7 linked regions of the Zea mays genome follow. The main gene of each other region encodes a partner of the protein of the gene in region 4 in a complex. Links are inferred from orthologs where the notes say so. Each region holds a gene or a part of one and is shown on either strand. Other genes may lie near its edges. The genes, in order: Mediator of RNA polymerase II transcription subunit 32-like, mediator of RNA polymerase II transcription subunit 14, Probable mediator of RNA polymerase II transcription subunit 19b, mediator of RNA polymerase II transcription subunit 25, mediator of RNA polymerase II transcription subunit 18, uncharacterized protein LOC100276155 and mediator of RNA polymerase II transcription subunit 8.

Region 1 (3,689 bases), on a different chromosome or scaffold from region 4:
GTTCCAGGTCTTAATATATTCTTAAATTAATCGACCAGATACTCAGATCCTTTTCTCACATGATACGGAGTAGTATCATTCAGCATGTTACATTTATCAAAGTCCGGTATACTTATGGAGCTAATATTTTATCTAGCTCTATTTTCTGAATTTGGCATTGGTTACAACCTTTAAAGTTTCTGTACAGATTATCTCATTTCAGCTCTATTTTTTAGGTACACTGCTTATATTGAGTCAGTGGCCAAATTTTAACAATCAGTTGTGGTCTTAATCCATGTTACTGTTGTTGGTATGATAATGCACTTTGCTCACCATATCATCTATGTTTTTGGTATGATAATGCGTTAACGCGTCTTAATCCATGTTGGATGTAAACGCATGTTTTTTCTGCTAATGCTTCCTCTGTCCCAAATTATAAAACATTTTGGCATTTCTAGGTTCATAGCTTTTGCGTATCTATACATAATATATTTCTAGGTGTGTAGCAAAAACTATTGATCTAGAAAAGCCAAAAAATCTTATAATTAGAAATGGAGGGAGTAGTTCATAGTCCTCAGCCAATTCTCTTGAGTGCAGCCATCAAATTGTGAAATTGTACTTTGTCTACAGATCCTATAATATCGATACAAACAGATTATGACATCTCCACATTTCTGCTTACTTCCAATAGTTTATCAGCATACTGTCATGTAGCATAGTCAAATCTTTTTTTTCTGCACATAATAGATTAACATACATTTGAGATACAGTGATGGGCATATCTGGTTTCTTGGTAACCATCTTACTAAATTACTGTTCAATTCAGTTCGTGCTTTTGTGAAAATGACTAGTGAATATACTCTGAGAACAATGAAAACCAGTACTGCTTTGTTAACTCAAATATCATGAATCTGTAGGGACCATAGCAGTGGTGAATAAAACTTTGGATCTATAGAACGATAAAGGAACTAAGGTGCTGTTTGGTTTATATGTTTGTAATGTAATAGGTAACAAATAACGTTAAATCATGTTTGTTTAAGTCCAACTGTAATTGGATACCACACTACAAATTGATACCAGCCTATTCAAACTTGTTACCCCTGGTAATCGAATGCAAATCATTACCGTTACCATTTACGTTACATTTTAGGAACCAAACGGCACCTAATTTAAGTCGTGAGTTCGAAGCTCATCCCTTTCCTAGACCCCACTCGTGTGAGAGCCTCCAGCACTGGATCAGCCCTTTTTTAGTTTTTTTGTCTATCTCAAACCAGGGATCCCAAGTTCCCAACCTTATCTCTTCACTCAACAAAAGAGTTGACTCAAAATCAAAAACTGCAACAACCAATCCCCATACACTGGCTGGTCCAAACAGGTACAGACTTAAAACTGGCGCAGCATTATACCCCCAGGTTTTTTTTTTCTGGTCATCATGTAATTAGATCTATATACCTCTCATGCTTTGTCACGACACTATAATTTTTTTTTATGGAGAGCAGCATTTTAGCAATCTGTGTAAAGATTGGGCAATAACCAATGGGCATAAAGACATTAATGCTGAGTAGTAGTATATCTCAAAATGGAAAGGTAAAAACAACAGCCAGCAAATCGCAATGATTTAGGTGCTGTTTGGTTCAAAAAATGTAACGCAAATGGTAATGGTAATAGTTTACGCTCGATTACTGGCGGTAACAAATTTGAATAGGCTGGTATCAAATTTTAGTACGGTATCTGATTACGGTTGGACTATAACAAACATGATTTAACGTTATCCATTACCCATTACGTTACAAATATATGAACCAAACGGCACCTTAGTTCATGTTCTTGCAAATATCAACACGCAAGGTTAATGCTGTCACTCATAGAAACACAGCAACGACAAGTTCTTTGTTTTCTATTGAAGGAAAAATGCTACAATTTTCATATGAGAAGGGCGATGCTACTAGTTTAATTCAGTAACTCCATAGTCCATACCTACTGGGCACCCTCCTCCGGGTGTTGCCCTCCAGCGCCGGCATTTGGGGTAGCGGCACCGCCACTGCCGCCGGTCCCTTGAGCAGAGGCGCCGTGCTGGAGCTCGATGACGAGCCATCGGACGGCCTTGCTCATCTGCTCGAGGCGGACGGCGCTGATGGGCTTGATGCCGGGGGCGGCAACGGATCCGGCGGAGGCGGACCCCGTGGCCTCGTCGACGAGGCACTCGGAGCCGATGCGCTGGCGGATGGACTCGACGAGCTCTTCGGCGTGGTCGCAGGCGACGCGGAAGATCTCCCAGCGCTGCTTGAAGGCCTCGAGCGCGGCGTCCGTGGCCGCCGTCTTCTTCTCGCCGCCCGACTGTACGCGGGCCTCCACCACAGCCGCCGCCGCCGCCATGAAGTCGTCGTACGCCGCGCTCAGGTGGTCCACAGTCGCCTCCATCCCTCCCTCACCCCCAGCTTCTGACGATCCAATTCGGCCTCAGCCCCCAATTCGACACGACGACCCCGAAACCGAAAGCAAAGCGTGAAAACAGGAAATGCCGAAATGGCCCAATCGATATCGGGTCGAGATCAGGATGGGCCTTTTTATTCGACATACGCATCTGGACCAGGGCTAGAGATTGTAGGCATGGATTTTTTTCTAAAAAAATAATATTGTTTTCCCAGACCGTATAGTAAATAAATTCTAAAAATTACATTATTGGACGCGTGTTGTTGGGAAGCTCGCGATCAATCGTGCGGACAGAACGTAGGAAGTGGCGGATCCAGAGCTACTATACGTGGTCTTTTTTTTACAAGACTCTCGTTTATCCTAATTGTTTTAGAATTAGAATCATCTTTCTTCTGGTTCTTGATGAAAAATTTATCCATCCTATTCTTATAAGCATGGGATTACTACCAAATAAATAATCAAATCAAAATTTCAAATCAAACTTAAAGCAAACAATAGCACATGTTTCACCTTCACTGCTTGTCTGCTTCACAGATCACAGCTTCACCTTCGTTGCTTCTGCTTCGCAGTTCGCATGGGACGTCCTATTCCTGCATGATCTGTCACAGATTAGCAGAAACTCTCTTGGCCTCCTATTCCTTCATCGTCCCAAACTCCCAACAGAACAAGGAACCCCCAACAGAAAGCTTGGAGGGGCATTGGCACACGCCGCACACCGCGCATGGCATTATGGCAAGGCCATACATCACTGGCTGTCTGGCTCATCACTCCAATGCAAGAACAAGCTAATAGCTAAGCACACTTTCTTCTCAGCGCGTGTGTACAAACCTGAGCTCCACGAATTAGCAGAAGGAGGGAGCGCGGAGTGGCGGCTGGACAGCGGCGTGGTCAAGGCGGTGCTCCGGGCGGGGCTAGCGGCGGTGTTCCGGCGGTCCGGCCTCCGGGCGAGCGACGCTGCGGGTTGCAGCGGTGCTCCGGGCGTCGGGGCGTGGGCGGTTGGAGGCCTGAAGCTCGTGGGTAGAGGGAGGAGGAGCGACCTACGACTGGGAGGCTGTTCACGCGGTCGCGCGGCTGGAGCTGATGGGCTTATTCGCTGATTTTTGGGCCGCGACCGGGCTGCAGCCCAGGCAGCCCCAGCCTCGGTTGGAGATCCGCCACTGAATGTAGGAAGAGCTGAGTGGTGTGTTGGCTTACTGCTACGATTGTCCCTATTGATTGTGACTCTGATTAGATAGTTCTAGACATGTCATCTGGCTTGACATGTAACCAAATGGGTG
Region 2 (3,617 bases), about 2.3 Mb from region 4:
AATAATGGATCAATATTTCATAGTCTGGAAGTATAAATGAGTGCTGGCGTTTTTGTTGTTTCACTGTACATTCCTGTGATCTGCTTTGCTGGCAGTGGCAGATGGGTCATTATCATTCCAATTGGCTTCCATCAATTCACTAGTATCTGTTGATAAATAGGTGAAACCGAGTACAAAAGCTTATGCTTTCTGCTTAAGCAGAAAGTTTCTGTGAGATTGCTCAATCATCTTGCTTTTTGCAATAAAGCTTACCTTTATTTGCCAGCTATCTCATAATCAATATTTGCAAAAATGCAGTTTCTGGAGGATTTCGTGAATGGTGGAGAGGTAGCATCCTTCTTGGATTGCATTCGGCTTACAGCAGGACCATTACTTGCCCTTGGAGGTGCAATTCGTCCTGCAAGGATGCCTGTTGCTGTCTCATCTGGATATAGCTCTATGCCAAAACAGCCGAACATCCCCACACAAGGGCCTTTAGTAAATGGTTCATCTTCAACTATACATCACGCACCTGGCCCCTCAAATGCTGCATCTGCCCATTTAGGCAGTCATAACCTTCATGCTGCTGCCATGCTTTCAGCTGTTGGACGCGGTGGACCTGGGCTTGTTCCCAGTTCATTACTGCCTTTTGATGTTTCGGTTGTACTTCGTGGGCCATACTGGATACGCATTATATATCGCAAGAAATTTTCTGTTGACATGCGCTGCTTTGCTGGGGATCAGGTTTGGCTCCAGCCAGCTACTCCTCCTAAAGGTGGACCTTCAGTTGGTGGATCGTTGCCATGCCCACAGTTCCGGCCTTTCATAATGGAACATGTTGCTCAGGGTCTAAATGCTCTTGAACCCAACTTCATGAATGCTACACAGGCTAGTGGACACTTAAATAACAATGCAGGAGTTCCACAAACTGCTCCTAGTGCAAATCGTTTAAATGCTACCCCTGGTGTTTCTATGGTCAGGCCAACATCTGGTGTTGCTAACCATGTAGCAGCCAGTTTGAGTCGAGCAGGAAATGCCATGTTGGCTTCTTCGGCTCTTGCTTCTGGTATTAGTGGAACTTCTGTGCGACTTACTGCTGGAGCTGGTCTCCCTGTTCACATGAAAGGTGAACTAAACACAGCTTTCATAGGACTGGGGGATGACGGTGGATATGGTGGTGGCTGGGTTCCTTTGGCAGCTCTTAAAAAGGTGCTGAGAGGGATCCTAAAGTACCTAGGAGTTCTATGGTTGTTTGCACAATTGCCTGAACTTTTGAAAGAAATACTAGGATCAATCTTAAAGGACAATGAAGGTGCTCTCTTGAATTTGGATCAAGAGCAGCCTGCACTCCGGTTCTATGTCGGGTAAGAAAATATAAACTGGCAAGTATCCCTTGTTTTCTAGCATCATATTTAAAGTAAATGCTATTCATTTTTTTTTGGCTGCGCAATTAAGATTGAGGATCTACATGAAAGTATCCTTAATTTTCTATTGTGCATGGAAGCTTTGGTGCTTAGCGCTATTGAGTTCCCTGACCTTCTTTTGGAAATAGTACTTTGTTTATATCTGCTGCTCTTCGGATTATATATTCATTCATCTATTACATGTTACTAGTGTGCGTCAAATATTTACTGATTCCTTAAGACTATACTTAATTGTTTACTGAATATAAGTGGTGTTCTTTTATTTAATTTGATGCTATCAGCTCATAATTGGTTGAGCTTAGGCTAGCCTTATAAGATGAAAAATTGGTGTTCAAAATGACTCATCTTGTTTTTCCTGAGTTGAGTATTTTCATTTGGGATTGCTAGTAAATTGGTACCTGATTTCATAATTGCAGAGGATATGTATTTGCAGTAAGTGTACATCGGGTTCAACTGCTTCTACAAGTTTTGAGTGTGAAAAGATTTCACCACCAGCAACAGCAGCAGCAGGCTCAAAGCAATGCTCAGGAAGAGCTAGCAGCAGTTGAAATCAATGAAATATGTGACTACTTTAGCAGACGTGTTGCCTCCGAACCATATGATGCTTCTAGAGTTGCTTCTTTTATCACTTTGCTTACATTACCAATTTTGGTTCTGCGCGAGTTTTTAAAGCTGATTACATGGAAGAAAGGTCTTTCCCCGGTTCATGGGGACATTGCTACTGCACAGAGGGCTCGCATCGAGCTTTGTTTGGAGAATCACTCAGGATCAGCTTCGTCTGATAACACCGAGAACAGCAGTTTAGCCAAGAGTAATATTCATCATGATAGAGCCCACAGTTCAGTAGAATTTGCCCTGACATTTGTACTTGACCATGCTCTTATTCCTCACATGAATGTAGCTGGAGGAGCTGCCTGGCTTCCATATTGTGTATCTGTGAAACTTCGCTATTCTTTTGGGGACAACAATCATATAGCTTTCCTTGCTATGAATGGGAGCCATGGTGGGAGAGCCTGCTGGTTGCAGTTTGAGGAGTGGGAAAGATGTAAGCAGAAGGTTTCAAGAGCTGTGGAAACTGTGAATGGGTCTGGTGTAGCTGGAGAGGTAGGCCAAGGAAGGCTGCGAATGGTTGCAGAGATGATCCAAAAGCAGCTTCAACTCTGTCTACAACAGCTAAGAGATGACCCACTTTCTGCAGGCTCGACTGCATCATGAACTTGCTTGGAATGAGCTCTATCAAGGCCATTGATGTCTGTCATATTCAGCATGGCCTTTGGCTTTGTTAACGTGTAGATGTGAAGGAATACACATTTGGTAGCAGTGACAGTTTCGCCTGAGGCTTGCTCAGATGACAATTTTGTACAGTATAAATGGTGGCGGTTGACTCTGATGGACCTTTAGTTAGCCCATTTGAACGTGGCCTGTAACATAGCTAGGGTGGGTAATAATGTGCCAAGGTGGAATTGCTCAGGGATGCAAAATGATCTTCGGGAATTGGTTGTCTGTATCATCTACTGTAATCGTGTCCTTTTTCTCCCTTTCTGATGGATAGTTCATTTTTGGATTCGTTATCATCTTTCTTCTGTCTGTACTATGTTAATCTAGACATTGGTGGATCTGGTATATGTGTTGTTGTACATGATATATTGGCACTGGACTTGAGACTGACGCATTTGACGTCTTAGTATTAGCAGGACATCTCTAGTTGTGTTCAGAGTGATTGGACACAAAAAATATTGCTTGGAGCTTTTCTTTAGGGCTAGTTTGGGAACTTAAATCTCGACCCCATAGATTCCTGGAGAAGATTTGAGTTCCCAAACTAGTTCTTAATGTTTCTTTTTTTTTTCTATTGCATCTTCTTAGTAAATGATGTTTTTGTAACTGTAAAAACCGTGCCGGTCAAGATTGATACCTGGATGGATAAGATGATGTTGGGTCAGATTTCTTGCTCATGGTTAGGAAATTGATGTGAGCACTCTGGCCAGTTTGTTTGAAACTGATATTCGTGAGTTGTGATTGGAAGCGTATGGATAGGCTTTTTAATCGTGTTAACCGTCATACGGGTAGGCCTTTTTAGTTCTCGTGCTTCTACGTTTGGGACACAGGTGTCAGTTTTTGTGCTTTAATGGACTCCATAGGTATCACGTGAAGCTGACATAAGTTACTTATTATCTTCATTTTACTCTATCTTCTCGTGAGAGGAAAAAAAGGGTT
Region 3 (4,150 bases), on a different chromosome or scaffold from region 4:
ATTTTAACAATTTCATCTCTGAAAATTGCTTGTCCACCAAATAAATATTTAGAGTGAAATGAACCACAGGGGGGGGGGGGGGGTAAACTTCCCCATATTCCCATTTGGGTCCATGAACTCTCAAAGTAATCAGCTAGGTCCTCCGGCTTTTCAAGTGATTCGTTTGAAGTGTAAATTCAAGTCCATGGTTGGACCTAGAGTGACCATAAAATGAACCACTTGAAAAGTTGAAGGATCCGGATGATAAATTTCAGAGTTCATGGGCTTAGATGACAATGCAGAAATAGTTTAAGGACCCGTGGACCGTGGTGCATTTCATTCATTTATGTGAGTCTTAGTCAAACCCTACCATTTCCAAACTTCTTGTCATCAGGGTCCATCAGATTGCAGCTTGAGCTATGCAAAGAGCATCTTCACCTGAAGTTCGATTACAAAAAAAATGTAACGACAAATGTGCAAAGGTAAAGTGAACTGGTTCTGCAATGAACAAACACGATATACACTACTACATATCTACACCAGTGTTATTAAAACTACGTTTAAACGATGTTTAAACTACGTTTAAACGTCAAAACTCTAATTAGAGGTTGAAACAACGTTTTAGCGTTTTGGCGTTCTAAACTCTAAAACGCAGTGTTTTTATGCATTTTAGACCATTAGCTACTTTTGGGCCCAGTCTATTAGTTACTTTTGAAGTTCAATCCAGCTCATGGGTGAAGTTTTGGTAAGCCACTAACCTCTCTATTTTGGTATTTAACTTCATATTATTGTCTGAAATTATGATGTATTGGTATTTTTCCTGTGTTGTTTAAAACTACGTTTAAACAAAGTTTAAACGTTTAAGAGTCAAAATTTCACCCATGAGCGTTCAACGTTTTACCGTTTTAATAACCTTGATCTACACACCACATAGGCCTGTTAAATCCCATGGCCAAGCAAACATCGATAAGACAATTCATAACCATATATGGTGTCAACATCAAAAGTAATGAACATGTTTTGCCTGTCTTATTTGAAATAATATGGAATTACATATCAATTATCACGTGTAAAGTGTTGTGATTTTAGCAAATCATGCGTGGGAGTTAACATGTATGTTTGTTTTGTAGATATGTCTGTGTGTGTACTGCGACTTTAGCAAATCAAACATGTCTGTGGGATTCCACTCACTCACACCCAACCAACCTCGTGTACAGTTACTAGTGATAAAGGGGAGAAACTGCCAAGCACCATAAATCCACAAGTGGCAAAAAAAAAGAGCACTCGAGAGAGAACACACCTACATAAAGGATCACTGACCAATACAAAATGATTCTGACAATGTACGTAGGATACCAGGCAATCATAACTACTACGACCAGAACCCAGCATCGCAACCAATGGCAATAGGCAGGAAGCAGAGGCGGATAGAGCTCCTGGGCAGGGCAGGCGTGTGCCCGGGCTCTGGTTTGTGCCGGTGCTGCACATCGAGTAGGTTCGTGCATAGGTGGATCAAGTGATGCCACTTCTGCACGGGATCAAGTGGACATCAACAGCTTGTTGATCTGTCTCCTCGTGGGTCTGCTTCTGATCATGGACTTACGGTCCAGACCTAGGAAAAGACCGTGGCCCAAACGTGACATGCAAATTACGTGACGCTCCCAGCCCAACACTGCTATCGTTTCTCAATTTCTCAATCTAAACTTATGTAATGTGCATTTTTGTTCTTATTAACTAATTATAGTATTGTAGCGTTATTACTTGTTAGTCCGGAAGATTTAGACTGTTCAATATTTTTTTATATTGACATCAAGTGATTGGGACATGAAGCCTTGTTACAAATATGTGACTATCCTCCTCAAATTGTAGACCGAATTAGAAGATCATACATATTGAAGGACCAATCCAGCCTATTATGAATTATGATATATTATCTATCGTTACATCTCGGAATGCAAACCATTTAATATCTTCTATTTTTGTGAACACTTTTTTGTTATCTCTTTATAGTTTATTTTAAATGTTTGCATACGTATTAGGTAATACATTCAGAAAAATATTTGTCGGCGTCAAACAAATTTATGCATGTCATTGTATATATGCAGTTGTTCGTAGTTATTGGTTGGTCATAGACTAGCCTAGGCTCTTTATGAATCCTGGATCCGCAACTGGCAGGAAGCATGGCTAGAAGCTCAGTTGCAACACATGAACTCAGTTGGTCCAGAAACAACCCCTGGAACAGCAGTGTGTCCAAGACAGCCCCTCCCCCTGGAAACACCAGTGTATCCGGGATGCAGGGCATGGGGATCGAGTCGGGGCACTGATTATAGAGAACACCCGTGCAGCCAGCCAGGATGCACCGAAGGCAGATAAAGTGAGCCTGCCCGGCTGCGCCTGCACGCTGGATACTACGAGCCTAATCAGTAATCACATTAGAGGCGGGTGGAGCACTCGAGCGCGCTAAGTAGGGGAGCACCGCAGCAGCGCCACGAAGCGGGCGCGCCTGAGTGACCGGAGGTTATTAGGGTTCTCAATTCAAACTGCCGCAGCAGTGAGGAAGCCCCGCACACCGGAGCAAGCTTGGGTAACTCACCGACATAGGGCGGAACGATCTCGTGGCGGGGACAGGTCTACGCGCCAGTCCAGTTGCAGTAGAGGGCGAGGGCCGGGCCGGGCCGGGCCGGGGACGACGCCTCCCGACGGCGGGGTTAAGGTGGGTGGCGGGGCTGAGCCCCTGCGCGGTGTGGCCCGTCCGTCGCTGGCAGCGAGAACCGCGGCGGCGGTTGGGTAGCGGGCGGGCAAAAAAGGGGAAGTGGGAAAGGAAGGATCGGGAACCCCTACGACCCCCGCACTTGCCCAGATGTGGCTTCTTCTCCATTTTTCCAAAAGAATTTTAGAAATAAAATTGAAATTCGGATGTTATTATTTATCATATTCTAACTTGAATATTATTATAAATATTATCATATACAAATAATTTTAACTAGAATACGAGTATAAATACTACTTTATCCATTCTTTTTATTCTTTTTTATTTGTCATGTTTTAGTTTAAAAATAAACAAATCGACGACAAATATTCGAGAACGAAGGTAATATCAAATATAAATATAATAATATGAATATAAAATAAATAGTTTAAATTTAAGTTTCCATCTTGGAACATAGTGTCGCAATATATAATAATTTTGTTTCATCGACGAATTTATAGTCAATAAAAATTTATATTTCAAGTAAATTATAACTATATTGTATGTATATATATATATATGTTATAAGCATATATGATTAATAAATGAAGATATATTCTTTAGCAATGAAAATAAATACATTAATGCATATAGATATAACGTATTTATTACATAGGTAATCTAATGTGATTATAATTAGTCTTTTAAAATTAAATTAAATTTATCATTGTGTAGTATTCTGAATAATGTACATATTTTTTTCTGGTAGCGTTTTTAAAATTAAAATCATTTGTTGTTAGTGATAATAATACATTTTAAATGGTTTCGTCGATTTTTTTTTTACGAGTATAGATAGTGTTGGATATTCCACGGTTTCGTTGAATACAAATCTATAGTTGGTTAGAGAAAAATATTGAAAGTTGAATTCCCATACATATATTTGATATCTATATTAAAATCGAATGCGAAAATTGACGAGTACCAAGGAACCGAGTATCTTAAGGAGACCTCATCGAGCAACCAGCAAGGCGGGATGGACGACCAAGGCCCCCATCGAACAAACCAGTGAGACGGGACGGACGACCAAGACCTGTCGAGCAACCCAACGAAGCGGGACGGATGGTCAAGTCCCCGCCGAGCAACCCAGCGAGACGGAACGGACGCCTGCGTCTCTGACGACCAAACCCGCAAAAGGAAAGGGCTGACCCGTGTCGGTGTTTGTTACCCGACCGCACACCATGGGGTAACCCTCGTGATGCTTTTAGGGCAGGACGGCGTCGTCGATCATGACTCGATGGTTCGTGCGGTGGCACGACAGGAGAAACACACAAGCTTGTTCAGGTTCGGGCCGCGCGAGAGGCGTAACACCCTACGTCCTGTGATGGTTTTGGTATTGGGATGAGATTACAAGTTGTGGACTTTGAGAATGGTGGGCTAAGGTGAGATGAAAATGGTAGGGGTACCTCTTGGCCTTATATACAC
Region 4 (2,172 bases):
TATAGTCCAATATATGCTCAAAGTGTTCTCTTAGTTTTTTATGATCTTTGTGTTCAATTCGGATGCATCTACATATTCTTATAAAAGGTCTTCAACACGTTTTTCAATGTCTTGCTTGAGGTTTTGATCATTTATACCACCAATTTATCTTCATTCAAATACACTTTGCATCCTTTAAACTATATCTATAAATACTAATAAATAATGTTACTTAAAATACTAGCAAGCAATATTAGTTCAAATGATTATGTTAATCATCAAATACTAAAATTTATGCATCAGTCTATTTTACTTACATTCCTATTGCAACAAACAATTTTGCTAATATTGACTAAACGACGAATTAAATGATTGTTTAGCTTATTTAATCATGCTAATATTGAATAAAGTATGAATTAAATGGTTGTTTAGCTTATTTAATCATGTTTAGCTCGATTCAATGTAAATCGTTTAGACAGTTTAAACTGCTTAAATGATTCAACTACCTATTTAACGTACCATTTAAACCCTAAACAACACAGGTCACTTATTTTACTGTAGTTTAAATAATAATTCTGTTATACCTAATAGTTTACGGCTAGTACAACAATGCCATAAAGTCACTCAAGATTACGAGTACACCACCATATCATAAAGTATGCACCTATGCATGGACATCTGGCATTTACCTATCGGTGACAGGGATGCTTAAGTTTTCAGATTAAGTTTTAGCAACACTCCCCGAGTGACTATTCCCTAACCCTGTCAAATGAAGTTGACATCTCAACACTTGGGTCAGTGTAAACCCTCAATTCATCTGATGCCTGCTGATAAAAGGTGCTTAAGGTAGGAAGCCTCCCCCAGGCATGCTGCCCGGCCCCTGTGGCGTAATCTTCCCTTGCATCATCTGCACTGCCCGATTGTGCCCCTGCATGAACTGCTGCCCCATTCCTGTACCCACCATCTGGGGTTGCTGCTGCTGTTGAGGCTGCATCTGTTGCTGCTGCTGCTGCATTTGCTGCATCTGTTGCTGTTGAGGCTGCATCTGTTGCTGCTGCTGCTGCATTTGCTGCATCTGTTGCTGTTGAGGCTGCATCTGTTGCTGCTGCTGCTGCTGCATTTGCTGCATCTGTTGCTGCTGAGGCTGTATCTGTTGTTGTTGTTGTTGTTGTTGCTGCTGCTGCTGCTGCATTTGCTGCATCTGTTGCTGTTGATGCTGCATCTGTTGCTGTTGATGCTGCATTTGCTGCTGCATTGGCTGCATCTGCTGCTGCATCGATTGCATCTGCTGCTGCATCTGCGAAGGTTGCTGCTGCTGCATCGGTTGCATCTGCGGCTGCTGTTGCTGGAGTTGCATCTGTGATTGCTGAAGTGGGAGGCCTTGCGGCTGCATATGCATGTGTTGTTGCAGCTGCTGCTGCTGCTGTTGAAATTGCTGTAGCTGCTGTTGCTGCATTGGTGTCTGCTGAGTTGAGGCCTGCGGTTTGAACACCACCATGTCCTGGGAAAAGGTCATTTAGTAAATGCAGATAATTATGCAGAACATTAATTAATTTAACTACAATCAAGATTACCCCAGGGAAGAGCATGCCAATCAAACGACCTGCTTTGTCAGCCATCGACAGCAACAGAGTTTGCGATGGTAACTGTATCACAGCACACTGAAACCAGGACCAATTGGATATTAGAACTGTATAAAGTAACTGACAGAAAACTAAGTGTATGAAACGACAGTAGATGAACCGCAGCAAAATAACAAAATTACTGGTTAGTTGTCCGTGCGTTGCTACGGTTTTTATATATCATAAAGATAAATCTTATTTAAATAAGATATTTATTCAAACACGGTCTAAACCGGATGTGTGGTGAGATGAGATGAAGTTTTTTCTCTCGCTTTTTTCCACGCTCACGAGATCAGAGATAGTGAGAAAGAAGGTATTGTACTATAGATAGCCAAATAGGTCGTGTCTAGCAGACTGACCCAAGGCACGGCCCATTTAACAGTACCGCGGCCCGACCTGAGAACCATGTCGTGCCTGAGCCACCGTCTCAGTCTATAGTGCCGGCCCGGTCCGACGTGGCATGATTATATTTTTTTAAATTTAAATGTATTAGTATGTATATATATTTACAATATTTATCCTCTGTGTAACACAATATTTAGAATATCTATAGAAGAGGGCCACGGTTCGA
Region 5 (3,992 bases), on a different chromosome or scaffold from region 4:
AGATAAATATAAATCGAACTAAAATCCATCTTTAGCGCCAATAAGTCAACTGGGAGATGCCACCTAGATTAGATCAAACTCCTCATTGTGTGCCTCCTCCTGAACCACCTGTTCTTCTCCTATGGGGGTGTGAGACAGAAAGGGTGAGCTCACATATGATCATAGCTCAACAAGTTGTGGGGAAACTAGTGTGCATGAACTCACCAAAGGTGAGAGTTCATGTGAAGTGTAAGGCTGATCAACAAAATAAAGGTTGAAGCTGAGCATTGCTTTTATAAGTTGGTCAAAATTTTATTAGCAGTTACTAAGTGTAAGTAAATACCAAACCATAATAAATAATAGAACAAAATTAATAAGTAATCACATGCAATGCAAATGACAAATTGAATTTAAGTTCCATTAATTAATCATGCGACAGTTCTGAGCTGCTCATGACCATGAGCTCGGCTAGTATACCAGTTTTACACTCTACAGAGGCTGTACCCTGTATCCACAAGTAATGTTACCCATCTACCAAGGGATCGCGACTCTCATACACCTCTACCAAGGAAGCGAGACAGGGCAACACTACGAGGCCTTTATAAAGTTCCACTAGATTTCGACTTGCAAGAATCCCCCGTCTGACCGCCATCGCAGCAAAATCAACCGAGAACCTCTCTGCATGTAACTCTCTTACTGCCGTTGCCCCTTTCGGGTAAGGTAGTTTTCCACTAGCTTTCCTAATTAGTTAGTCAAGGGGTCTCATTCCTCTCTTGTGGTGACACATGTTTCTCAAGTTAAGCTCTATGTTCCAATTAAAGATAATAATCTTGACATGAATAAAAATAAAATAACAAAATAATTGGAACATGGATATAATGAAATATTAACCCAAAACCATGTAAAGAAATAGTAAAACTATCAAGTGATTTAGGAATAAAAAGGTAAAGTGATAACATATCTAGAGTAACCTATTAGGTCTTATCAAAATTAAAATAAAAAAAGTGACAAATAAGGCTGAACAACCCCCGCACCGCGACTAGGCTGAACAATCCTGACTCAAGCCCACGGTTTATCTTTTCTGTCCGAGATCACCAAATTTTGATACTTTTTTCGTTTTCGCTATTAACCAAAAAAACAAATTTCAGTCCGTTTTAAATGGATTTGATTCAAAATATAACAATATAAAAAATAAAAGATTAGTCAACGAAACGAAATTTGGATCATTCCAAACGAGACTGTGAACTCTCCCAGCTCAAGCCCACCTCCCTGCTCAAGCCCAGCCGTCCACTGCCTGGCTCCCTCGTCCGGTCGTTCCCGTCTCCCTCCTCGCGTCGCGTCCACCATTGTTCCTGTCGACGCTGCGCCGCACGGCTCGCACCGCCGACAGTGCCTCAGTCCTATCGAGCCTCCCTCTTCCCAGATCAGGCCCTAGCTGGGCTACAGCCGCCGCCGCCGCTGCCGCATCCGTCACCTTCACACCGCGTGCGCGCGCGCTCTCTCTCTCTCTCTCTCTTTGCGACGACTGGACGGGCTACCGCAGTCGCCACCATAGGCACCACGCCCTTCGCTGATCTATTCGCTGGCGAAGAACGCTCTCAATGTATTCCCACTCCCACCCCCTTCTTCTCTCTACCCGCTGTGCGAAAACGAGTTCCCGAACTCTAACCTAACTATTTGATGTCTACTAACTTCTAATTTTGTTTTTTACTGCCATACTGGTCCACCCCTGATACACATATAACAAATCCACTAACGTGATTCTTTTTTTTTGGGTGCAAAATCATTGTGGGACAGTAGAAGATCGATGGAGTGCGTGGTGCAGGGAATCATCGAGAACCAGGTATTGTGCCACAATGCAAGTTGGCACTGATGGTTTATGTAAAATTTGATTTTCACGCATTCCACTAACATTTGAAAGATAGGAGCTCTTTCATCATCGTTAGTGCAGTCTATTTTGTTATGCAGATCAGACATTAACTTTTCCTCTCACTGCTTGCATCTAGATTTGATAAGTATTTTGAATGGTGTATAGATTGTTAATATCTATTTGTAAGTATATACTTATAGTATTGAATTTGTTGTTGAACATTTCGTTACTAATTGAATTCCGTTGCTGTGGACAAAACAATCTCATATTGATGTACATGTACAGTGCACAATGTTGAGCTTACGCACCATACAATCTAGCTTCATTTTAGTGTTCAGTTGAGCTCCCTTAGGTATGGCCACTATCCATAGTTGCCAGTTGGTGGTCACTTTTCTGTTTACTCCATCACAGATAAATACTAACAAAAGTTTATTTTATTGAAGTGATAAATAGATAGATCATGTAGACCACTAAATGTCAACAATTTATTCCGCGCTTTAAGGCACTACTTCTGGAGCTTTTGATTTCATTTGTTTTTTTTCTTCTCAGCATGTTAACAGAATAGTAACATTTAATATACAGTTGGGGGAACATATGATCTATCCTTGTGCTTTTACAATAGAGAGGAACTTAATTTTTTGGTATGTTCTAGTTTATGTGTTGTGCACAGAATGTAAGTTGCTCTTTGTTGTACTGCTCTGCCATTAGTTTAACCTTTGTTTGATCTTTCCATTTTGCAGCATGTCGATGCTCTTGAGGTTCTACTCCAGGGACTCTCTGGTGTCCCGAAAGAGCGTTTTAGGGTGCATGAGCTCTGCCTTAAAAGTGGGCCCAATCTAGGTTAGTTTGTGATTAGTCTACTCCTCCATTCCTACACATGTGGCGTATTAACTGACGTCTTGCAATCATACAGGTGTTGTCCCATCGGAGGTTCGTTTGTTGTGTGACTTAGCTCAGCCCACACCATCCTGGTAACCGAGACAAGCTGCTGAAAGTCTACCTTTTGTTATGTTTATCATTAATTGTGACAAGATTGTAGGACCATAAGACATGTTGGTGGTGCCATGAGAGGTGCTGGTGCGGAGCAAATCTCAGTTCTGGTTCGTACAGTTGTGGAGAGCAAAGCTAGCAAGAACGTCTTGCACTACTTCTACACCCTAGGGTACAAGCTAGACCATGAACTCTTGAAGAGCGGTTTTGCATTTCGTTTCCACCGAGGTGCCCAAATCACTGTCACTGTTACATCTGCTAACAAGATGTCAAGGCTCCATGCAACCGATGAAGCTACGCCAGTCACTCCTGCCATACAGCTAGTGGAAATCACAGCTCCTGCTGCTGCTGATAATTACAATGATGTTGTTTCAGCTGTCACTGCGTTCTGTGAATATCTTGCCCCGTAAGTACCCCAAAGCTTGAATTCCGAGGCAACAATCAGAAAACATATAAGAATGAACCAAACACCTTTTTGGTTTTAATAATCCTTGGAAATCTGCTGCAGGCTGCTGCATCTGTCAAAACCAGGACACTCGACAGGAATCGTTCCAACAGCAGCCGCTGCTGCTGCCTCACTCATGTCAAGTGGCGGTGGCAAAACCTTGTAATGCTGCTAGGACAGCCAAAGTCCGTTCTTGCTGCTAGGACAGCCAAAGTCCGTTCTTTGAGATGAGTGGGCGTGGCTAATGAGGTGGCCTTCTTCGTGCCGAGCATTTGAGCAGTCAGTTTTGCCTGCTAGTGTTGTCCATGTCTGACACATCGTTGTGCCAACCTTGCTCTTGGTTTGACTGGTTGCATGATTGCTGATGGGTAATGCCCTGCCTTGTAGTTGCAGGGTGTAACAATCTAGTATTACCAATATTAAAATTTCTCAAAAATCCAAACCATAATTTCTTTTCTCAAAAAGAAGTTTATCTCATGTGTATATATTTTTCAACTAGGTGAGTGCCCGTGCGTTGCGACGGAAGTAAAAAAATTGTATGAAATATATAAACGGAACGACAAATATCATTATGATATGCAAAATCCGTATGGTAAACATTATCAATATTAGTGGCATGTCCTTTGTGGAAAGACCACCCATTAAAAAGTCATTGATGCACCCATCGGTCGAGACGTTGACAGGAGATTAGTATGACACTTAAGATTG
Region 6 (4,056 bases), about 180 Mb from region 4:
TAACCAGCACCATACAACATATAAAATTAGCAATATTAGGTCTATTAAAATGGTTCTAAATATTGTAGATCGTAATGACAGCACTGACACCGGTATCAACTGGAAAACTAGGGCTTTTTAAGGAAGGCAGCTCATGCCGGTCTCCACTAAACCGACAGTCCCTACTGGCTAGTAACATCAGTTATTACGTACTAGTAACCCAGCAGTAAAAACTGCCAAAACTAGCCAAACTTTAGACACTCTTAACAACTAATAATTGTGAATTAGAAAACAAAACAATGGCTCAGTAAGTCAGTGGTAAGGCACTAAGGCCGCTCGGTGCGACCGTGCGAGCGCTACTACCCGAGTTTGATCCCTGACTGGGGCGACTCAGGTGTCACACGGGATTTTCATCAGAGGGGACTAAGCCTCTATGTGTGTGAGTTGCTCAGTAGGCACGTTCCAAGACTGCTTGGGCAGCCTCATCCGTGTTTGAGCATGAGGACAACATGTGTGCACCGTGCACATTTGAGTTCTTATATGATATGCTAGTGCTTCTGGCAACAACAAAGCCTTTTAGCTCCAATCAAGTTGGGGCAGTCCCAAAGAAAGCCTTTTAGTCCCATGCCTTCTATATAATATGGCAATGCTCCTGTTGATGTTTAAATAAATGTGAATTAACTTTTTAAAAGGATTTGCCTAGAGACATGAATATTTATAGACATTTTATGAGACAACACAAAAACCTGCAACAGATCTACTATACCCCGTCTTATTATCCATTTCTGGAAAAAATTCTTAATTCTTGTGCAATTGAAAATTTTATTGGATACCAAAACAAAGTAATTGAGATTCATTAGCCAGAATAGTTCAATTTAACTTAGTAATTATTATCAAATTCAGAAGACCACTAAGAATAAAGCATATGAGTCAGGAAAGAGAAGTAACAGAACTTACAGTAGACTTTGAGCTTATTGTTCCCGATATGGAGTTCAACAATTGTTGGCACCTAGCAAACTGGCTGGTCAATTCTTCAACCTAGATATATATAAAAAGCTTCTCTTAATACAGTAGCTATTGGAATTAGGATTTAGCAAAACGCTGGGAAAAATATGGTGTTTAGCTGGTATTCTATAAGAAATCAGCATGGAAGTACACAATACATAGTAGTAATTTTAACATGCTTCTGCAATTGCATAATTGCATAACTAAGGGTATGTCTTCCACTGGCTTGGTTTTGGCTATGGAAAACTGAACCGTGCAGACCCTGTCACCCTGGGCTGGTCCCAAGCTTCCTGTGCACCACCAACACTAGAGCATTGTTTGTGACCTGTCTCTTCTCTGGGAAGTGATTTAAGAATTACATCACATGTCAATTCAAACTCTGTATAAGAATATTCAGGCTCCACGCCTAGAAGAAGCTACAACTATTGTTTCTGACAAGATCATGCACTATGAGTACAAGAACATTGATCCATAAAACAAATGAAAATTAGTAAATGGTGATTCTTACCAGTGCATCGAAATTTTGGTCCCTTGTTCCTGTACCAATAGCATCGGCTAATCTTGTAACCAACTAACAGAGAACAAAATTATGCAAAGAAGAAAACTATCAGTATTTCACAATACATTCTAGTACTTTCTCAAAGAGTAAAAGGAAGAAGAGCCATCATAAAAGTGGAAACAAAGATTTGCTACTTGCAAAAAAGCCATTGGAAATAAGCCTAAATGTTAGATGCCAATACAGACATGTGATTGCCAGCTTAAGAAAACCTACAATACCTAAAGTGCCCTCATATATATTTTTAATTTATGTATTTCTTGTCAAACCAACTCGAGTGATTAGAATCAACATTTTCTCTGGCCATTACCAATGTTGCACGCTCTGACGCTTGTATATCGTTCATGTACACCTATAATATGGCAATCTTCACTACCGGCCAAAGTGACAAATCATGGTGTGAAGAAATTGCAATCGCTGAGCAACAAATACAGGACAAATTAATGACAATCTTTAATGACTAGCAAAATCCCAAGTTCAGAATTTTGAAATTCCGGTGCACAAAGGGCACACTCCAACAACATCAATGACATCACTACAAAAAGAAGGGTTCATTTGAGGGTATGTATCATCTATGCTATCTTAAACTAAGAGCAAAGGCCCCCAAAACACAAAACTCCACACAACTCCAAACACTCCGTTACTTACATGTAGGAGGTGGAAGTGGGAGGCAAGAGAGGCGTGGTGATGCTGCTGCGGCTGCGGTGGAGACATCAGTGTCTGCTGCGGCTGTGGAGACATCAGTGCTGGCTGTGGCTGCGGTGGAGACATAAGCGCCGGCTGTTGCTGCGGCTGCGGCTGATGGTACTGAAGAGCGTGGAGGTGGTGGTCGGGCTGCGGGGACGTCATGAGCCCACGGTAAGGATCGCCGTACTGCTGCTGCTGCTGCTGCGGGTGGTGGTGATCCATCTCTATCCCCAGTTCCCAACACCTGCGGGCAGGGGCTATTGGAAAAATCGAAGTTATTAGTAATTTAGTAGGCATAATAATACATGCATATACTTGCAATTACTCCTGAATCAGATCCGATTCTTAAGCTAGGTTTTGAGTGCTCGGTTTCGCAAAGCAGATAGGGGAGAGGAGGGACGGGCATACCTAGTGGGTGCTCGTCGCCGGTGAAATGGGCACGACGAAGGTCTGGGCACCGGCACCTGACGGCGGCGGCGGTAGCCTAGTGCTCGCCGGGAAATAGGGACCACGCGGGGCGTGAACTGTGAACGGCGGCCAGTCCGGTACTGTTTGGCCGACGGGGGCGCTAATCTCGGAGTACGGTGGCTGTGTCCAGCTGATATGGCCGTCTAAAGAACTGTTGTTGTACGATAGTCATACCTTTGTTTGTAGCGTTGGAGTTGAAATAGTGGATAGATATTAGATACGAGAGGAGATAGATAGTGTTTTTTAACCTTATTCATCTATAGATGGCTAAATAGATTGTCTGTCCAGCATTAATGGTGTTATTAGACACTATTAGTAAATGTGTCGTGATGTGTTAGTACTATTGTCTAGACACGGCACTATAGTGTCTAATCATGTCATGCCGACACTAACATCTAGTAGGGTTCGTGTTAGCCCACTTTAAAAGCTCAAAATATATAGATGATTTTTAAGGTTATATATAATTTTAAAACTTGAATATGTGTACTATTATAAAGTGGGTTGACTCTTCTGAGGCTCCCTTTTGGTAGGATTTTTGCATCACCGGCTTTCCTTCTGGCTCATCTGAAAAAAATAGTTTGATCCTTATTTTTAGTAACCCTTGGAGAACACTCTATTTAGTTAAAACACAACTACTCCTATTTTCATGGGAGGGTGAGTGACAAGAGAGAGTCGAGTCAGAGAAGCCTCCTTTTTAGGCTCTGGGCTTTCCTCGGTTTTTAGGGACATCTCCTTCCTATTTTTATGGAGAAGCCACGAGAGGAGCCCACCATTTGGTAGCCTTTTTGAAGAAGCTGTTGAGGGGCCATTAAAAGAGCTCTACCAAATAGAACTCTACTATGTAAATTGTCATGTACCTAGGAACAGGGTAACCAAAAGTAAGCCCACAACCTCCTTCCGGCCCATTAGCCGACCAACCCTCTGCCAAGCAAGCCTACGAGGCGGAGCGGACGACCAAGTCCTCCGTCGAGCAAGTTTGCAAGATGGAGCGAACGACCAATTCCTCGTCGAGAGGCAGAGCGGCTGACCAACTCATCGACGAGCAACCTCGCAAAGCAGAGCAGCCGACCAACTCCCCACTGAGCAACCCTTTGAGGAGGAGCGGTCGACCAACTCCAAATTGGGCAACCATACGAGGCGGAGGTCCCAACCTAACGCTATTAACCCGTGATGGCTACGACAAGACGCGTCATCATCAACCCACGTCCGGACATATGTGCAACGTACCGAAGGGGCGCCAGGAGGTCACTATCGACACGACTGAACGCCACCACGTACGCTCTAAGGCGTATCCCCACTGCCATGTGGGGTCAGTCAACCCAGTCATAGAAAAAACCTCAGCACTGGAGCCTCTACAGTGA
Region 7 (3,500 bases), on a different chromosome or scaffold from region 4:
TCTCGGCCTCCCCGCCGCCGTGTCGACTCACTACCCCAGTTCTCCATGGTGTCCCTCCTGCCACCGGGGGCCCTACCTTTGCCTTGTCCGCCAATGCCACCTCTTTCCTGCCTTTGCCCGGTGTCACCATGACCGATGTGCGTGTCACCCTTCACGATGGTCAGATTATTCGGGGCACCTTTGTGGCCTTTGATCGGGCCATGCACCTTATTCTTCGTGACTGCGTCGACCTCCACCCTCAGCCAGGCTGTCATGTCACTGGCCCGCTTGTCTTCCCCCTGCTATTGTTGCATCCCTGATGTTCAAGGCCCCCGACTCCAGCCCCCATCCCGGTGACCTTCTAGGGGCACCTCCCCTGGCTCTCTCCTCGCACCCCGTGCCTTCACCACCCCCTCCCTCTCCCACTGATTGGGTGGTCGACTCCAGAGCCTCCTTCCATACCACTTCTACCACTAGCTCGTTATCCCACTACCATCCTCCACACCCCTCACATCCTTCCTCTACCGTGGTGGGGAATGGTGCCACCCTTCCGATCACCTCAGTAGGTGCATCGATTCTCCCGGGACCCTTCTACCTTAACGACGTTCTTGTTGCTCCCCATTTGACTCACATCCCCTTCTCTCGGTTCGTTGCTTCACCGATGACAACCGCTATTCTATAGAGTTCGATCCCTAGGGGCTCACCATACGACACCTTCGTTCTCATGTCGTGCTCGCTCGTTATGGCAGCTCCTTCCCCCTCTACTCTATTCACTTGCCATCCACTTCCCCCACCAGCGTATCCTCCCCCCATGCTCTTGCTACTACCACCACCTCCACCGATTGGCATCGTCGCCTCGGGCACCCTGGACCAGATGTGATGTCCCAGCTCTCTAGACGCTCAGATATCTCCTGTCGTCGGGGTTTCTCTGAGCATCTCTATCATGCTTGTCAGCTCGGTCGTCACTCTAGTCTTCCTTTTTTCCTCTTCCACGTCCAGGGCTGCCCAAGCCTTTGATCTTGTTCATTGTGATCTCTGGACCTCTCTCGTCCTTAGCCTCTCTGGTTACAAATACTATCTTGTCATCTTGGATGATTTATCCCATTCCCACTTTCTCTGGACCTTTCCTCTACGGCTTAAGTCCGACACCTTTCACACCCTCACCCATTTCTTCGCCTGGTTCTCCACACATTTATTCGCCTGCGTCTCCACCCAGTTCCGTCGCCCGGTTCGTGCCCTCCAGTGCGATAATGGCTGCGAGTTCGATAACTCCGCCTCTCGCACCTTTCTCTTTCATGGCGTTCAATTGTGCCTCTTGTGCCCGTACACTTCCCCTCAGAACCGTCGGGCCGAACGGATTATTCGCACCACCACTAACATGATCCGTTGCCTCCTATTTCAGGCGTCTCTTCCCGCCTGCTATTGGGCAGAGGCCCTGAACACTGCTACTAATCTCCTCAACCGCCTTCCCTCAAAGGTGGTGAGTCACCCCACCCCCCACTTCTCCTTGTATGGCATGACCCCCTCCTATTCTCATCTCTGAGTCTTTGGTTGTGCCTGCTATCCCAACACCTCTGCCACTTCTCCTCACAAGCCCCCCTCCATTTGTTGTCTTATCCTCGGTTACTCCCCTAACCACAAGGGATACCGATGCCTCCCTAGTCCCCTCCTCCGTTCGCACCAGCCTCGTCGACCCCCACTGGCGTCGCGCTATGGAGGAGTACGCGGCCTTGCTGGCCAACCACACCTGGGACCTGGTGTCGCGTCCACCGGGAACCAACGTGGTCACCGGCAAGTGAATTTTTCACCACAAGCTGACCTCGGATGGCTCCCTCGACGGCTAGAAGGCCAGTTGAGTGCTTCGAGGCTTCACCCAGCGTCCCGGAGTGGACTACAACGAGACATTTAGCTCTGTCGTCAAGTTCACCATTGTTCGAGCCGTTCTCTCTCTCGCCCTCTCCCGGGGTTGGGCGATCCATCATCTCGACATCAAGAATGCATTCCTCCACAACACTCTGACGGAGACTATCTACTATAGCCAGCCCACCAGCTTCGTCGACGCCGCTCATCCGGATCTAGTCTGCCAACTGAACCGCTCCTTGTATGGCCTCAAGCAAGCGCCACGGCATGGTACAGTCGCTTTGCCTCTTACTTGGCCTTCATCGGCTTCGTCGAGGCCAAGTCGGACACGTCCTTGTTCATCTATCAGCGCCGCGACGACACCGTCTACCTTCTGCTCTACGTCGACGACATTGTGCTCACAGAGTTCGCGATGAAGAACCTGGGGCCTATTCACCACTTCCTCGACGTCACCGCCAAGCGCTGGCCTCAAGGTCTCTTCCTCCACCAGCGCCAGTACGCCATCGACATCCTGGAGCGGGCTGGCATGTTCTACTGCAAGCCCTGCTCCACGCCTGTCGACACTCAGGCGAAGCTCTCTGAGGACGACGGGCCCCCGGTCGCCGACATGACATCCTACTAGAGCCTGACCGGCACGCTCCAGTACTTGACCTTCTCCAGGCCCGACATCGCCTACATCCTCCAACAGGTGTGCCTACATATGCGCACCCCGCGGGAGCCCCATCTCACCGCTCTCAAGCGGATCCTGCGCTACCTCCGCAGCTCCCTCGAATACTGTCTTCTACCCCCCCCCCCCTGCGACGTCGGAGCTTGTGGTCTACAACGACGCTGACTGGGCTGGTTGTCCCGATACATGGTGGTCCACTTCCGGTTATGTCGTGTTCCTAGGCGCCAACCTCGTCCCCTGGGCCGCCAAGCGGCAGCCCGTTGTCTCCCGCTCTAGCGCAGGGACCGAGTACCGCGCTGTGGCCAACGGCGTGGCAGAGGCCTCCTGGCTGCGCCAGCTTCTCCAGGAGCTCCACAGCCCCCTTCAACGCGCCACACTCGTCTACTGCGACAACGTCAGCGCGGTCTACCTCTCCACCAATCTCGTGTAGCATCAGCGCACGAAGCACGTGGAGATCGACTTGCATTTCGTCCACGAGCGTGTCACTGCCGGTGACGTTCAGGTTCTCAGCGTCCCCACTACGTTGTAGTTCGCCAACATCTTCACCAAGGGGTTACCGTCGAGTGTTTTCGCCGAGTTTCGATCCAGTCTCAACATTTGTACAGAATAGAGTTGAGACTGCGGGGGTGTTAGAATGTTGTTTACGTTTATGTGTATACCTCTATTGTAATGGGCCTTGGCCCACAACACTCAGCTATACATATACACTCCCAACCCTGATTAGGGTTAGGGTTTCTCATATTCTCACTCTCCAACTAGAACAGGATCAAGAAGGGAAACACATACTACAGAAAATCTATAAAACTAAAACACATCCAAAGCCCCAAATGTAAACCTATCTTTACCTGTGCTAGCATCCCAGCAGCTGATGGCCTCACCGGCTGGTGAAGCGGTTGAGAATGTTGCATCAGTTTTTGCCTCTGTTGTTGTGGTGTTAGATGTTGCTGGGGGGAAGGGGTATTCATCATATTGGTGCCTGACCTAGGAGAGTTAG

Evidence for each region.
Region 1: mediator of RNA polymerase II transcription subunit 25 (region 4) and Mediator of RNA polymerase II transcription subunit 32-like share a complex: the UniProt entries of both Arabidopsis thaliana proteins name them as parts of the mediator complex. The link is inferred for Zea mays from reciprocal best matches to the Arabidopsis thaliana genes PFT1 and MED32.
Region 2: mediator of RNA polymerase II transcription subunit 25 (region 4) and mediator of RNA polymerase II transcription subunit 14 share a complex: the UniProt entries of both Arabidopsis thaliana proteins name them as parts of the mediator complex. The link is inferred for Zea mays from reciprocal best matches to the Arabidopsis thaliana genes PFT1 and SWP.
Region 3: mediator of RNA polymerase II transcription subunit 25 (region 4) and Probable mediator of RNA polymerase II transcription subunit 19b share a complex: the UniProt entries of both Arabidopsis thaliana proteins name them as parts of the mediator complex. The link is inferred for Zea mays from reciprocal best matches to the Arabidopsis thaliana genes PFT1 and AT5G19480.
Region 5: mediator of RNA polymerase II transcription subunit 25 (region 4) and mediator of RNA polymerase II transcription subunit 18 share a complex: the UniProt entries of both Arabidopsis thaliana proteins name them as parts of the mediator complex. The link is inferred for Zea mays from reciprocal best matches to the Arabidopsis thaliana genes PFT1 and AT2G22370.
Region 6: mediator of RNA polymerase II transcription subunit 25 (region 4) and uncharacterized protein LOC100276155 share a complex: the UniProt entries of both Arabidopsis thaliana proteins name them as parts of the mediator complex. The link is inferred for Zea mays from reciprocal best matches to the Arabidopsis thaliana genes PFT1 and MED9.
Region 7: mediator of RNA polymerase II transcription subunit 25 (region 4) and mediator of RNA polymerase II transcription subunit 8 share a complex: the UniProt entries of both Arabidopsis thaliana proteins name them as parts of the mediator complex. The link is inferred for Zea mays from reciprocal best matches to the Arabidopsis thaliana genes PFT1 and MED8.

The regions. Positions count from the first base shown.
Region 1 is NC_050101.1:142,578,410-142,582,098, forward strand, and holds Mediator of RNA polymerase II transcription subunit 32-like, read right to left. Parts: upstream 2,520-3,689; 5' UTR 2,401-2,519; coding exon 1,957-2,400; intron 714-1,956; 3' UTR 501-713; downstream 1-500. UniProt on the Arabidopsis thaliana protein: Component of the Mediator complex, a coactivator involved in the regulated transcription of nearly all RNA polymerase II-dependent genes.
Region 2 is NC_050097.1:176,292,247-176,295,863, reverse strand, and holds the end of mediator of RNA polymerase II transcription subunit 14, read left to right. Parts: intron 1-297; coding exon 298-1,343; intron 1,344-1,819; coding exon 1,820-2,618; 3' UTR 2,619-3,117; downstream 3,118-3,617. UniProt on the Arabidopsis thaliana protein: Component of the Mediator complex, a coactivator involved in the regulated transcription of nearly all RNA polymerase II-dependent genes.
Region 3 is NC_050096.1:177,736,204-177,740,353, reverse strand, and holds the start of Probable mediator of RNA polymerase II transcription subunit 19b, read right to left. Parts: upstream 2,801-4,150; 5' UTR 2,573-2,800; intron 418-2,572; 5' UTR 381-417; coding exon 350-380; intron 1-349. UniProt on the Arabidopsis thaliana protein: Component of the Mediator complex, a coactivator involved in the regulated transcription of nearly all RNA polymerase II-dependent genes.
Region 4 is NC_050097.1:178,589,898-178,592,069, forward strand, and holds the end of mediator of RNA polymerase II transcription subunit 25, read right to left. Parts: intron 1,641-2,172; coding exon 1,554-1,640; intron 1,481-1,553; coding exon 821-1,480; 3' UTR 501-820; downstream 1-500. UniProt on the Arabidopsis thaliana protein: Component of the Mediator complex, a coactivator involved in the regulated transcription of nearly all RNA polymerase II-dependent genes.
Region 5 is NC_050100.1:126,532,858-126,536,849, reverse strand, and holds mediator of RNA polymerase II transcription subunit 18, read left to right. Parts: upstream 1-1,192; 5' UTR 1,193-1,582; intron 1,583-1,776; 5' UTR 1,777-1,786; coding exon 1,787-1,822; intron 1,823-2,589; coding exon 2,590-2,689; intron 2,690-2,762; coding exon 2,763-2,820; intron 2,821-2,888; coding exon 2,889-3,245; intron 3,246-3,347; coding exon 3,348-3,450; 3' UTR 3,451-3,714; downstream 3,715-3,992. UniProt on the Arabidopsis thaliana protein: Component of the Mediator complex, a coactivator involved in the regulated transcription of nearly all RNA polymerase II-dependent genes.
Region 6 is NC_050097.1:1,837,529-1,841,584, forward strand, and holds the start of uncharacterized protein LOC100276155, read right to left. Parts: upstream 2,801-4,056; 5' UTR 2,636-2,800; intron 2,485-2,635; 5' UTR 2,450-2,484; coding exon 2,189-2,449; intron 1,556-2,188; coding exon 1,493-1,555; intron 1,018-1,492; coding exon 937-1,017; intron 1-936. UniProt on the Arabidopsis thaliana protein: Component of the Mediator complex, a coactivator involved in the regulated transcription of nearly all RNA polymerase II-dependent genes.
Region 7 is NC_050102.1:151,797,348-151,800,847, forward strand, and holds part of mediator of RNA polymerase II transcription subunit 8, read right to left. Parts: coding exon 3,352-3,500; intron 1-3,351. UniProt on the Arabidopsis thaliana protein: Component of the Mediator complex, a coactivator involved in the regulated transcription of nearly all RNA polymerase II-dependent genes.